Linked DNA regions of Caenorhabditis elegans. The protein of the gene in region 1 interacts with the protein of each later gene in a pairwise test. Each region holds a gene or a part of one and is shown in the gene's direction. Other genes may lie near its edges.

The links. The genes of interacting proteins can lie anywhere in the genome.
Region 2: the proteins of egl-19 (region 1) and shn-1 interact in a two-hybrid assay, tested with the Caenorhabditis elegans proteins (one study listed by BioGRID).

What each region holds. Positions count from the first base shown.
Region 1 is NC_003282.8:7,403,345-7,409,348, forward strand, and holds the start of egl-19 (Voltage-dependent L-type calcium channel subunit alpha), read left to right. Parts: upstream 1-2,237; coding exon 2,238-2,244; intron 2,245-2,580; exon of another isoform or gene 2,581-2,730; intron 2,731-2,786; coding exon 2,787-2,878; intron 2,879-3,849; exon of another isoform or gene 3,850-3,870; intron 3,871-4,060; exon of another isoform or gene 4,061-4,194; intron 4,195-4,344; exon of another isoform or gene 4,345-4,485; intron 4,486-4,638; coding exon 4,639-4,802; intron 4,803-4,856; coding exon 4,857-4,962; intron 4,963-5,485; coding exon 5,486-5,625; intron 5,626-5,678; coding exon 5,679-6,004.
Region 2 is NC_003280.10:11,384,209-11,392,764, reverse strand, and holds shn-1 (Protein shank), read left to right. Parts: upstream 1-1,900; 5' UTR 1,901-1,980; coding exon 1,981-2,040; intron 2,041-2,147; coding exon 2,148-2,417; intron 2,418-2,676; coding exon 2,677-2,778; intron 2,779-2,848; coding exon 2,849-3,437; intron 3,438-3,483; coding exon 3,484-3,825; intron 3,826-3,882; coding exon 3,883-4,155; intron 4,156-4,412; coding exon 4,413-4,502; intron 4,503-4,662; coding exon 4,663-4,985; intron 4,986-5,027; exon of another isoform or gene 5,028-5,048; intron 5,049-5,222; coding exon 5,223-6,064; intron 6,065-6,548; coding exon 6,549-6,696; intron 6,697-6,833; coding exon 6,834-6,987; intron 6,988-7,610; coding exon 7,611-7,840; 3' UTR 7,841-8,203; downstream 8,204-8,556. Other genes in the region: C33B4.5 (uncharacterized protein), read right to left, coding at 8,302-8,556. UniProt on the Caenorhabditis elegans protein: Scaffold protein that most likely acts in the postsynaptic density (PSD) of excitatory synapses which orchestrates synapse formation and maintenance at neuromuscular junctions.

The sequences.
Region 1 (6,004 bases):
GAATTGCCAATAATATTTTAATCAATAAATTCATAAGTCTGATCTATAAAATACAATTTTCTGATCATCTCTACTATCACAATTGCTTCCAAAAACCAAACTAAATTTCACTTGGTTTCTAATCTTTTAACATTTCCATCTTTGAACCACTTTAAGCTATTTGAATTCTCAATTCAAATATTCTTTGACAATTTGAATTGAGATGGTAGTCGGATGACTCTAGACATTCTCCCACTTTTTAATCATTAAATTAATATGAAGACGTGAGAATAAGAGGAGAAAGAGTGAAAGAATAGAATTATCGTGGTGCTCTCCGCTCTGCCGTCCTGTTTTAAAATTCTCTCCCTCACTGCTGGGTCGCTGCTGCTGGTCCCCAGCTTTTCCGAATTTTCTTTTCTTTTCCCTTTTCTTTCTTCGTTTTCCTCTCGAATTCTTCTTTTTTTGTCCTTCTTCAACATTTTTGAAGAAAAGTTGGAATTAAAAAAGAAACAGTTGGCATTTGTTGTCCGATTCCTTTTTTCCAAACTTTGATGGTCCAATTTATCTAGAACCTATAGTTTTCCAAAAAAAGAAAGAACATCTCCGCCCAGTATTCCCTTCATCACGAACCTCTAATCTCCAACCCATCATATTTGCTCCGTCTTTTTTGTTCAAAATTTCTCAATTTTTTGGTGACAAAAAGAAATAGAGATGAGAGAAAGAAAGAAAAAACTCGAGTTTTTGTGCATATTTGGAAATGTGAAATGGGTGTGGTTATGGTGTAGAAGGACGTCGTCGTCAAAAAACTGCAATTCTGCGCGTAAATATTGGCGGTTTGGCGAAGAGGTGATGAACGGCCCGCCGCTGTCCAGATAACGTTTTGTGGCAACGGGAAAAAAAGAAAAACGAGAGGAGAGCTGTGAAAAATAGAGGGTTTAGCACCCACATACACATACACCCGAAAAACCACACACCGAAATTCAAACGTTTTCATTTGTTTTTTTCTTTCTTCTTATTCTTCTTTTTCCTTTTTTCACCCGTTCTGTTTTGGTAGGATTGAGAATAAGATAAGAAGGTGAAGAAGCCATATTTCAATCAACTTTTGATCTACTGTCTTTGTGCTAAAGCTGTCTGGTGTTTCTCACATTTTTTTTATTCAGAAATCAACTCAAAATCTTCTCGATAATAATGATTTGCACAAACACTCATCTAATTTTTCCTTTTTTTTGGAATATTGACTTCAGAATTATGAACTGGCTACCGTTTTTGACAACAATGGTGCAGCTTACTGTATTTGCCACATTTCTTGTTAAATTGTAACAGTTAACGCTATTTTCCAGACAAAGAATAATTAAAAAAATATACATACCGTTTTATTAGTATTCCCCTCATTGTTCAACTTTGACATATCTCAGCTATAGTTTTTTCTATCAAAAACTGGGCAACTAACTTTGTAGTTTATTGATATGTTGCTAGGAAACTCTTTTTAAAATTTAAAAATTGAAATTATCCAACGAATTAAATACTTTGCCTTGAAAATCGAGAAAAGCCCGTAAATTTTTTCTTAAATCTCCAAAAAATCATCGATTTGAATTTTTTAGTTGTTGAAAAAAGTTTAATAAATTTTTTACAGTATCTTAAAGTCAAAACGTTTAACTTTTCGATATTCTCTACAATTGATCCTGAACAATTTTTCTCCGTGCTTGCTGCTTCTCCTCCTCCCTGGATTCCAATTCCATTATTTTCTTTCATTTTTTCTGGAAATAACTAGTTTTTGTTTCCTTTCTGTTACATGTTGTTATGCCTCTCAACCCATTTTCATGCTCTTTTCAATCTCCGTCACTTTTCGGTCAGAAGTCTTTCTTATTCCCAACTTTCGTTTTTAAAAAACGAAACTTTGATCGTCAGTCCTTCCCTGTCCTCCTCCTTCTCCTTCCCCAGTTTCCTCTTTTTTTCCCAAAAGGACATTGCTCTTTCCCTTTTTTTTTTCTCATCCCCACCTTCTTGTGAGGGTGGATGCAAAACTAAACTGCAAAACTGGCGAATAAAAGAGCTTTAAAGTCGTCGCTCCTCTCGGTTTTTTTCTTATTCTTCTTATTTTTCTCCACATTTTCTGATCTCAAATTTCGATTCCAGAAGAACGAGAACGCACTGTGGTGCACGAAGAAGGAAGAGAGATATAGTGTGGAAAAGGAGGAGTGCGCCGACACTGCTCGATCGTGAAAGGCTCGCATGACGAGCGTTAACCTGTGTCCATCATGTCAGGTAAGAATTTTTTAATTCATTTTATAAAATTATCTGCACAACAATTACAAAGTACACGACCCACAAGAAATTCTGAAGACAATCAAACTGCCGAAGTCTACCGTACTAAACGATTTTTTATTGGTGTTCTTATTAAAGTCATATCTAAAATATTTTTTTTTTTTAATTCTAGCTTCGGATGTGCAATATAATACGGATTTTCTAGAATTTCATAATCTAAAAAAAATAAATCAAGTCGAAGATCAGCGCTCATCCAGATCTTATTCAAAGCTTGCCGTAACTATAGTTATAACTAGTAAATTTCCAATTGAATAAAAAAGTTTATTTTTTTGTATTTCTGATTTCATTTCTGATTTCCGGGGGCAGATTTGTGATGGGTGGTGGTTCGGCTCAAGTGGTCGTGGTACTCCACATCTGCACTCTCTTTGCTTTTGTTTTCGAGTTTTCGCGCAACCAACAAAAATCGAAGAGAAAAAGTGAACGGAGTGGAGAAAGACAGTGAAGATATGTAGAGAATGATAAGTTATTATTAATTATTTCAGTGTTAGCGAGTATGATGTCATCGGGGGAGGACGAGGAGCAGGCGGCAGCTGATGAGCAGGAGAGAACCGATCTGTGGCAGCAGACATTACAGGTTAGTATTTTATTTTGCAAACACTTGAAAAATTGTAAAGAAATACTTTGGAAATCTCTGGGAAAAAAGTGTGCAAAAAGAGTGGAAACTGATAATTCTTACGAAGCAAGAAGAATCTTCATCTGTTGGATAGATCCAACAGATTTCAAAAATTATTGAAAATATACCTGCTGTAGGGCCTAGTATGTCATCCTTGAAAGTCAACAAGCATTTTTCATTTGACCTAAAAAGCTTCTTTATGCTCATATCAAGACACTGGACTTCCGTTATTAAATCCCATAAATCGCATCCAAATTGGTAGATCCTGAGGGTCAGCGACCCCATCAATCCCAGCAGCACAATGTTACCACTTTTAATATCCGGTAGCTTTTAATGGTATAAAATGGCTAGGGACCACATTTATGGTATCATTTATAGTCAGATGCCCACTATACGTTACCATGCCCGTGAGCTTTATGCCGATATTTATGGATATTTTGACGGGTTAGGTCCTTTACTTTGGATGCGATTTAATGTAAGTGACATATTCTTTTGGAAGTGTTAGAAACACAAAATGTTGTTAAGAGACTCTCTTATTGTCTCGTACTCTCTCTATGATCCAGGAACTCTTCTGATTGAACACAGGCAAATCCGCAGTACGTGTCTGTGTGTATCATCTCTAGTGTAATATGCGGGAGCTCTCGAGAGACGCAGATACTTGCAGAAAATAAATTGAGGGTGGAAAATGGTGATCTTGTTGTGAAGTCAAAATATCTGTTTGGTACAAAATGAGGGAGTGCCGAGTGACACAGATCTTTAAAATTGACCCTTGTTAGTCATGCAAAAGATATGTGACACCTCCCTGTGCATTTTTGGAATCTGAGAATAGACAAAGATCACAGATGAATTTTAAAAATCAATTAGCTTACTGTACTATGAGAACTGAAAATGCGAAGATTTTTCTGGTTCCATTGGCTTGAAATTTTATTTTAGTCAACCAATTTTCATATGAAACATTTCGAAACATGCTTGTTTTTATCTATTGATTTTCTGAAACAGAGATAAAATTTGAGAAGTTGATAATAAATCACTTTTTTTCGGAAAACATGCCATCCAATTTCTGATATTTTCAATTTCTAGTTTTCTTTGAACGAGTGACTTTGCATTCTTCAACATAAAAAGAAAAAAAGACATTTCATGCACAATGTGGATATGATTATCAAGTTGAATGGTGCCTTCTCTTGCTCTTTTTGTTCTTTTTCTCCACTTTTCTTTCCCCTTTTTCTCTTTTTCTCTCTCAATAAGATCCAAAGGGATCCACTTTTTGAATCCATCCACCAAAGTAAGTATGAAAGAAAAAAAAGCCGAGAGATGCTAACAAAACAATAAAAAAGAAGAAGGCGGGATCTTTTTGTGTATTATGATGGAGCCTATTGGTAGAATGAGTGAGAAAAAGAGAAAGATCTTATGCAAATTGACAAATGATCGTATTCATGGGTTTTGCGAAAAAGGAAAGAAGCTCTTTCCTCTATGCCAGCTCAGTCGCGCGACTTCTTGAGAGAAGGAGAAGAAACTGAAATTTGAAACCGACCATTGACCGATTTCACATCTTTTTCCAATTATCCACATAAAAACAAGAAATGGAAAGACAATAAAATGATGAGGGAACCCAGTTGAAAAAAATACACCAAAATTTAAAAATACCGAGTATCAACAACAAGTTATTAATCAAGCGTGAAATCTAGAGAAGTTTATTTGAATGAGCAAAAAATAAATTTCAGGCCGCCGTGGCAGCTTCATCATCACAAGATGCCACAAAGAAACGACCCGCACAACGGAAACCTCTTCGACAAACGAACGTCGTCGAAAGATCCGAACGATCACTTCTTTGCCTCTCCTTGAATAATCCCATCCGAAAATTGTGCATCAGTATTGTTGAATGGAAGTAAGTTTATTGTTTTTCTAAATTCAATTTTACTAAAATCAAAACCATTTTCAGACCATTCGAGTTTTTAATATTGTTTATGATATGTGCCAACTGTATCGCTCTAGCCATCTATCAACCCTATCCTGCTCAAGATTCAGACTATAAAAATACATTACTTGTGAGTTTTTTTCAAAATTGAAAATATGGTGAATGTTGCCAAATAACCCGAAAGGGTGATAAAATAATGAACATTATTCAGAAAAAATTTATTTAATTTTTTTGTTCAAAAAATTGAAAAGTTACTTATAAGATACATTTTTTCCAAAAATAACAAAATGCAAATCAAAAATAAAAATATAATGTTAAAAAGACAAAAAATCGAAATTTCAAAATTGTTAATAATTTTTATACCCTGCATTTATGTTTTTGATTTCAGTAAAATTTGAGAAACAGTTTTAAAACTTAAAATACCAAGGAGTCGAGCCAAAAAAATTTATTATTGAAAATTAAAATAAAATTGCAAGCCATTTTAATTCTAAAAAATTGATTCTCAAAATTTAAAAAAAAGTATAGAAATTTAAAATTAATAATCTCAGGTTTCCCACAAAATTAAAAAAAAACATACAAAAGATGAATCTAGCAATAAAACTTCATTAATACTGTTTTATGGAAACAATTATAAATGTTACTTCAAATTACAGGAAACAATTGAATACGTGTTCATTGTCGTATTCACGATAGAATGTGTGCTCAAAATAGTGGCTATGGGGTTTATGTTTCATCCCAGTGCATATCTTCGAAACGCATGGAATATTCTCGATTTTATTATTGTTGTCATAGGGTGAGTCGTTTTTTGGTTTGAAGTTTCAAAAACAATTAGAACAAAAATTTCAGACTTGTGAGTACCATATTATCAAAAATGTCAATTCAAGGATTCGATGTAAAAGCTTTGAGAGCATTTCGTGTACTTCGACCGCTTCGTCTTGTATCAGGAGTACCAAGTTTACAAGTTGTGCTCAACGCCATCCTTCGAGCCATGATTCCTTTGCTCCACATTGCCTTATTGGTTCTGTTTGTTATTTTGATCTATGCTATTATTGGATTAGAGTTATTCTGCGGAAAACTTCATTCAACATGTATAGATCCAGCAACTGGACAATTAGCGCAAAAAGATCCAACACCTTGTGGTACTGATACAGAAGGAAGTGCATTCAAATGTC
Region 2 (8,556 bases), on another chromosome or scaffold:
TCCTTCTTATCAGGTGTCAGATTTTTTCTGAATAGGGGGGAATCAAAAAGTAAATATTTGATTTGACACCACAAAATGACTAATATATTTTTTTACAATACCCATCCCTACCTCCCCCAGTTTCCTCCCTACTACCTTGATTCTGGAACTTTGTGTCCAAGGTCGTAAACTCCGGCGGAAACATGTCTCTGACTCAATTGTAAGAGTCAGCTTACAATAGTCACCTTCCTTTCATCCAGACGTCTCTCTTTCTCTCCCTAGATAATTCTTGTTCACTACCTTTAAGCCTACCTGCAATAAGCTGTACGGATCATCTACTTTGACTACCTTAATCTCCATATGTCTTATCATCTCGTTTATCACTTGAAATTGGAAACGAGATTTGTGTAGTTTTATCGCATTTTTCGAGGTGCTTTAAAACCATTTGGAGATGAAATTCAGAGAAAATTGTTCTAGTTTCTCCATTTAATTCGCGACTTGTTAACGAACAAATTGTTAAATTCATGTTTACGTAACTAAAAAGTTTTTTTTTAATTTTAAGAGACGACCGAGTTACAAGCTGTCAAAGTTGAGTACCATATTTTCTCATTCCACTTTTTTGTTCAACTTTAGCATCTTATATCTCAGTTGCCGTTTGTTTTAATCAAAAATTGTTAACTAACGAAATATTTGCAATTTTTTTTCTATCGTTTGTATTCGATAATTTATTGATATCATTAAAATACACCAAGATATAATTTTTTAAAGTTAAGTAATGTGGTGCAATTTCATATTTTTAATATGTACCCTTCTCCTATGTGTTTCAAACACCGCTTCAACATTCACATTGAACTTTCAGACACTTTGAGGACAATGTTACATTTTTTTCCTTTAACATACAAACTATTTGAGTACATACTTAATTACCTCTTTGTCACAGCTACGTCTTCATTCAATACTACTACTTCGTGCATTCACTGTTCGTTTTCTTACTTTTTGTCTCTCTCTCTCTCTCTCTCTCTCTCTCTCTCTCTCTCTCTCTGTCAGTTTTCCTCTTCTCCTCACAAGCTTCTTCTCCTCATCCTTCCAAGAAGTGAAGCCAGTTTCCGCCTCTCTTATAGACAGTTTGCGTCTCCACATCTTCAATGCTATCTCTCACATTATTCCGACAGTACGGAGAAAAGAGTCGCGCTCTCTCTCCTCTGTTCGCTTCCTCAATTCCATTACGAGTGTTCTTTTCGAATGGCAAAACCTATAAGTCTTTTGAGAATTCCATCATCTTTTCAAGTTTGCATAGTACTTGTGGATCTTGAATTTTAGATGCGGAAACATTGATAGATTCGAGTTTGAAAATGTTCTAAAACTTTATAGGTTTGATTATTAGACTTTTTAATTTCAATAAAGTGCAGATTTTAAAACTCGACGCTATTGTATTTGGCAACACTTTTTGTGACTTCTACGATTTCTTCGTTTTTCAAACAGACACGTAGGCGTATAGGAATATAGGCAAATAGGCAGGCACATAGGCATGTGTGAAGGCAGCCTGTTGCTGGCTTTTCGCCCACAATCGCCCGTCATCGCCCTAGCTCGAACTTTTAAACCAAGGCAACCAAGAACTAGAAATTTTACAAAAAAACCTATCTGTCAAAAAACCATTTACCTACCTATCTCTACCCAGAGTTTCCATCGTTTTTTTTGTCCCGACCAACCCGACCTTATGTTCAATTTTATTACCCATGATCAGCACCTCCTACATGCGCAAAATGTTGCCTGTCCCCCTTTGTGATCCATGTCCCACCAATTGACATCAATAGTAAATACATCAAAGTTATCGCCTTTCTTCTCTTCTTTTTTCTAATTTCTCTATTTCCTCTGCATTTCTTTCTGTTCGATTAGCTAATAGTGGTAACTTCATTCTAACAGTGTTGTACAAGTCCGGAGACATATTGATGCGCTAGTGTCATCATCGGAAGCAAAGGCGTCCGAGCGGAAGCATTCACGATGAATCAAGAGGAGGACACCGTTAATTTGCAGATCTTCGTTCCGGAGCTTAACGTTCGGGTGAGCAATTGCAAAATAAAATTGTGACTATTTGCAGAACTTACCATAGAATTTCAAAATGTTTTATCTAGGTGTTCCATAATCCTTCTACAATTTCTCAATTTCAGAAGTTCCTTGCGGTGACCCAAAACGATTTCATCTGGGATGTGAAACGCAAGTTATTGGCCACCCTTCCGCAAGCTCTTCCGCAAGCTTTCAACTACGGGCTCTTCCTTCCTCCATGCGATGGACGAGCCGGAAAGTTTCTTCTCGAGGATCGGACCATTCGTGACTATCCGTTCACTGATTGTGTTCCGTATCTCGAGTTGAAGTATAAGAAACGAGTCTATAAGATGCTCAATCTTGACGAGAAGCAGCTGAAGGCAATGCACACGAAGGTAGGGATTACTTCTCTTTCAACTTTCAATGCCAAAACCTCCCAGGTTCTAAATGTTCTAGTTCTAATCCCATCTTATTATTCAATTCCTTCCGATCCAACATGTTGATCGAAAACTGACAAAAACCTTGTATAATTACAAGGTGTTTTATGCGTCATATTCCATCAGATGCATATCTTTCCCCCTTTCTTCACAAACTAATAATATTTGTGTTCGCGCGCACCTCTCAATTCAGATACTTATCGTTCTCGTTTTGCAGGGCCAACTCAAAAAGTTTATGGACTACGTTCAGCAGAAGAATAACGAGAAAGTGGAAAAGATGTGTTCGCAGGGACTTGATGCAAATTTTCATGATGCTCAGGTGAGTTTTTGTGGATGTTTCTAGGATTGCCGGGCATCTTGAAATTATTTTAATTTTCACAAAATTTCAGGGAGAAACCCCATTAACGCTGGCTGCTGGAATCCCGAACAATCGAGCTGTAATTGTATCCCTTATTGGTGGCGGAGCACACGTGGATTTTCGCAATTCAGAAGGCCAAACTGCAATGCACAAAGCCGCATTTCTATCTTCCTTCGAGAATGTAAAAACCTTGATCGAACTTGGAGCAAGCCCAAACTATCGTGATCCAATTGGACTTACACCGCTCTACTATAATATGTTGACAGCAGATTCGAATGATCAAGTCGCTGAGATTCTTCTACGAGAAGCCGCCGACATCGGTGTGACCGATATGCACGGAAACCACGAGATTCATCAAGCATGCAAGAATGGGTTAACGAAACATGTGGAACACTTACTCTATTTCGGTGGTCAGATCGATGCTGAAAATGTAAATGGGAATAGTCCTCTTCATGTCTGTGCAGTGAACAATAGGCCAGAATGTGCAAGAGTACTGCTGTTTCGGGGAGCTGATCATCTAGCTGTGAACAAGCAAGGACAAACTGCGTTACATGTTTCGCATATTGTCGGAAATCCTGGTGTGGCTGATGTCGTTCAAGCACATAATCCTAAATCTTCAGGTAAGAGAGTCATTTTTTTAACTTCTCTGAAAAATCTAAATTCCAGTACCATATCGCGGCACTCCTCAATACTCAACTCGCCGACGCCTCAGCTCAACCATCACTCGCCGACGTTCGATGTCCCAATCCTCAATATGCAGCCAGGATGTCTACCGTACTCCCCAAAGTGTACGAAAAGGTCCAATGTCTGCAGCTCCATCGCCAAGCCCGTCTCGATCCTCCCGTACTACCATCACCCCATCAGAGTACGGTACGATGCGACGGTCTGGAATGGATTCGATGCGTGGTGGTGGAATGATTGCAGCTGGACACGAGACAAATATCGCTCGGATTCTGGTGATTCCACGTGGTGTCAAGGGATTCGGTTTCATTTTGAGAGGAGCTAAACGTAAATTCCTTTTTCTTATGTAACTGCTCAATAATTTTCTCATAGTTCTTGTTTCAGATGTCGCCATGCCATTGAACTTCGAGCCAACTGCTCAAGTGCCGGCTCTTCAATTTTTTGAAGGTGTCGACATGTCCGGAATGGCGGTTCGCGCGGGATTAAGGCCAGGAGATTACTTGCTGGAAATTGATGGAATCGATGTGCGAAGGTGTTCACACGATGAAGTCGTCGAATTCATTCAGCAAGCCGGTGACACGATTACACTGAAAGTGATAACAGTCGATGTAGCTGATATGAGTAGGGGAGGAACTATTGTGCATCGACCGCCAACAGGTAAAGAAAGTTGAATAGAGTGTTGTTGAGATTTGGGTTGAAAGAAGTTCATATTGGGAGTTAAGTATCTTGATGATCTTGATATTGCACAAACTCGGCTTGAAGTGTAAGCTTGAACTTATCATCCCAAATCTCAATGATAATTTCAACGTATCGTCGTTCATATTCGCACGCTTTTAGTTTTGTGTAGTCTTTGTTCAAGTACAAATTGTTTTCTAATCCGTGCACCGTCACCATTCACTCACATTCACTTCCAGCATCATCTCGTCACTCTTTGGTTTTTACACCCACGCCGTCAGCAATCTACTCGTCTACAAAAGCGTCCAGTGTTTATCGGATGAGATTTGGTTCGAATTTTTTTGTTTTATTTTTACTTTATTTTTCTAACTTTCTAATTCACTGTTCACGTTAATCTAGAATTTACATAGAGATCAGCTTTCTAATTATGTGTTATCTGTTCTATAGATTTGTTCTCGGTCTCGTGTAGCATAGTCATTTTATTTTCAGACACGCATGATGCGCATGGAGTTGATTACTATGCCCCAAATGAAATCAGGAACGCCTACTCGGAATCACGTCACGCGTCAGTCAGGCAAAGGCCGGGTAGCGGGAGGAGGATATCCGCAGCGGAATTGGAGAATTTGATGGTTCGACAGCGGGTACCGTCGGTGCAAGGTTCACCATATCAAATGCAATATGATCAGGAGTCGTTGAATGGGGGTTATTCGTCAAAGAAGTATAATTCGGTTTCTGACATGAAGAGGAGGAAAGGTCAACGGAATGTGGTGGCTTCATCTGCCGGATTGAATAGGTCGACTTTCGAGCAAGCGGTGAGTTTTAGAAAAATGTGGGAATCGGAATATTTATTTGCTCTAAATTACGGAGAAACTAGATTAAAGATGCCAAAATGCCAAAGTTAAAAAACATTTTGAAACAGAAAAAAATTTAAAAAATTAACCCGATTTTCTTAAATGTTTTCTTTTTTGTTTGTTAAATATCATGTCATTTGGAGCAATTCAGAGCAAAATTCCCAACAGCGAGCACACTGAGAAAGTAGAATTTTTCAGGCTCCCACAACTAGCACATTCGAGTACAACTGTAGCAGTCGAAGCACACCTCAACTATCTCGAATGGACTCATTTGATTCATTTGACGATGAAGATGAGATGCCAGCTCCACCACCGGCGTCGTATATCTCTCCGGATTTGCAGAGAGATTCTTCAATGCAGCGGAGTGAATATTCTAGGCCGTTCCGACCAACGTCAAGGCCGAAAACTCCACCACCTCCTCCACCGATGCAACATCAGAATCATCAGAACCACCAATATCAACAACAACATCCATCTCTTCCAAGATCAGCTTCAACACCTCAACCAATTCAGCAGCAGCAGTCATCGATTCCACCACCGCCTCCACCACCTCCTCCGCCACACTGCGAGCCAACGATGGTACATGTTGAGTTCACACCTCCATCAACATCTTCAGTACCTCCTCCACCTCCTCCATTGCCTCCAATCTCATCTGGAGCTCCGCCACCACCTCCACCACCTCCTCCGGGAGGTTTGATGCATGTGGCTGCGAGTGCTCCGGTTTTGATGAGCAATTCAAAAGGAATATCAGCAGATGCCTTGAAATCAGTTCAATTAAAAAAAGCAGAACCACGAGAAACATCGGCGGCTTCTGTCAGTAATAATAACAATAATAACAACAACTCCACGACAGATTTTCAAATGGATTTGAAGAATGCGTTGGCAAAGAGGCGGAGTAAAGTAGCTCACGATGTCGATGAGGATGAGGAGAGAGAAAGTCGATTCGAAGGATTATCACTTCGAGAAACTGTTCGGGAAAATGTTGTAGAACGTGGAAAAGGAATTCAGAACATTGGAATAGTTAATAAGAAGGACAGTGGGTAAGTGAGTTTATTTCATTTGAAAAATGCTCGTTGGTTGCATAATTATTGGTTGTGTCCGATTTTTGCTAATTGGCTATTTCTAACTGCTAATTTTTGGAACATTTAAAAAAGTCTGTCAGAATGTAGTTCAAAACATTCTGAGACTTTTGGCGTCTATTCGTGTCTCTTGCCTACTTTCATAGTACCTTTAACCATATTCCCACTATTTCACTTTGAACAGTTATATCTCAGTTCATTTAGAAGATATCATTAAATGTTCAACTATGAAACTATAGAAAAAGTATCAGAAAATATTTAGTCAGTTGACAATTTTTGTGTAGAACAACCGAAAACTGAGATATAAGCTGGTAAAGTTGAACAATCGAAGTACAATATTAATAGAGAAAACACGGTAACTGCTAACTGCTTTCTCGAACTTCCGTAGCTCAACATCTTCAATCTTGAAGCTTACATACAACTTAAATAAATCCTCTCTTTTCAGGTACACATCTTCTCGAACGTCACTGGAACCATCTGAATCGGAAGAAAAAGATCATCGACCCCATTTCTCACTTGATCACTCTCCAAATGTTCAAAGAGTGACACTGATCTCTCAGCATCTCGAGGATAATTACGGACAGAAGGACAATGTAAGACCCATTTTTCCCTGCACTGATTTCTCAATATAACATTTTTCTTAACCCCAAAAAAAAGATGGTGTGAAAGAATGTTTAATTTGTTCATGTGTGGTTTGTGCCCAATTTCTAACCTAAAACCTGCAATTCAGATGTCTGTTGCCTCGTCGTCAACTGCGTCATCATCATCAACAGTTGATCTAACGAAACCTGGATGCTTCGTGGTACCATCTCATGTCATTCCACCTGTCGATTATGATGATGATCCGGATTCTGGAACAGGCGATAGCGATGGAGAGATTCGCTGTAAGAGATTCTTCTTCCAACTTGTTTTTCATTTGACATCACCATTAGTTTTACTCTTTTTGCACACTCACTTAATTTATGTTCTCACAAATTTTGGAGATTAATTTATGAATCTAAGAGGAAAGGGGAGAATGAAATCTGTCTGGGGTCTAGTTTTGGTTAACATGGGGTTTTTGGAATGCTCTGGTTGTGTTCTCGGGATACATTTTTTTTAGCAAATTCTCAATTCAAATCATTATAAATGTTTAGAGCAGTTTTGAGAATTATCTAGTTTATTTGTTTACGCTTGTATTCTTGTAAAAATACTTGTAAACTTGTAAAAATATTTATACTATAATAGTATTTTTGTCAAAATATTTAGTTTTCTAAATATTAAAAAAACAATTTGATTTGGTTTTTTAATTTACTTAATTTCGTTTGTTCTGTTTCAGTGTAACTCTTCATTTTTGAATTGTTTGCTTCAGTTTATCTGTTAACATTTCTAGTTTGAAATATGTTTGAAGGAAACTTCTTTTTTGGATATTTTGTAAAAGAAAAAATTGTTAATTCAAATCATTATCTGTTAGATTTTGGGGCTCATTCCTTTAAGTTTCAACAAATTACCAAATTTCCTCTCTTTGCAGGTAGTGAAATATCATTCGAACACAAGAAGGTAGATGTCTGGTCGGTGGATGACGTCATCGGTTGGCTCTCATCACTACACCTCTCTGAATATACACCAGCATTTCGAAGTCAACGAATCAATGGCCGATGCCTTCGCCAGTGCGATCGGTCTCGATTTACACAGCTCGGTGTCACCCGAATTGCTCATCGCCAGATAATTGAATCAGCTCTCCGTGGCCTCCTCCAGTGATTTATGATTTTCCCCCCTCATTTCTACTTTCTCGATTTTCTCCCGCGTAGCTGGCTTTATATATTTGTATATAATATTGTTTCATTTGTTTTTGATAGTGAAACCCAATTCTAATTGACCATCGTGTCTTTATCCTGCTCATCATCATTTTTCATTAATTTTCTTCCATTTTTCGGTGTCCTAGGGTAATACAAAAAATATATAGTTTTTATATTTTAATATATATTTTATTCCTCACTGATTCTATGCCTTTTCGTAGAATTGCTCCCCAATTTTTGCATTTGCATTGAAAGAAATTTAATTTTTCAAACAAGATTCATGAACAAATCGGTGATTCATTGATAAATTTCTTTACTACAAATTGAAGAAAAGAAAACAAATTTGTATTTGATCAGACAGAGTGAGAGATGGAACAAAATAAATTAAAATTAAAAGATAACAATAAATAACACGAAATTCTCTTATGATTTCTGTTTTTTCCTAAAAACAATCACGACGTCCTCCTTTTTCCGATGAAATCTTGATGGAAGAAATAGAGCCGGCTCGGCAGAATAACCAGAAGCCGATGCTGTCGTTGTTTTTGCCCAACTTTTTGGAGTTACCGCTGGGACTGATGGTTTTGGAGTTGTTGTAGTTGTCTCAACACGTGACTCCTCCGATGAAAACTGATTTTGACGTCTCCAATTGACAACTCGATTGTAGGGAAAGTGAGCTTT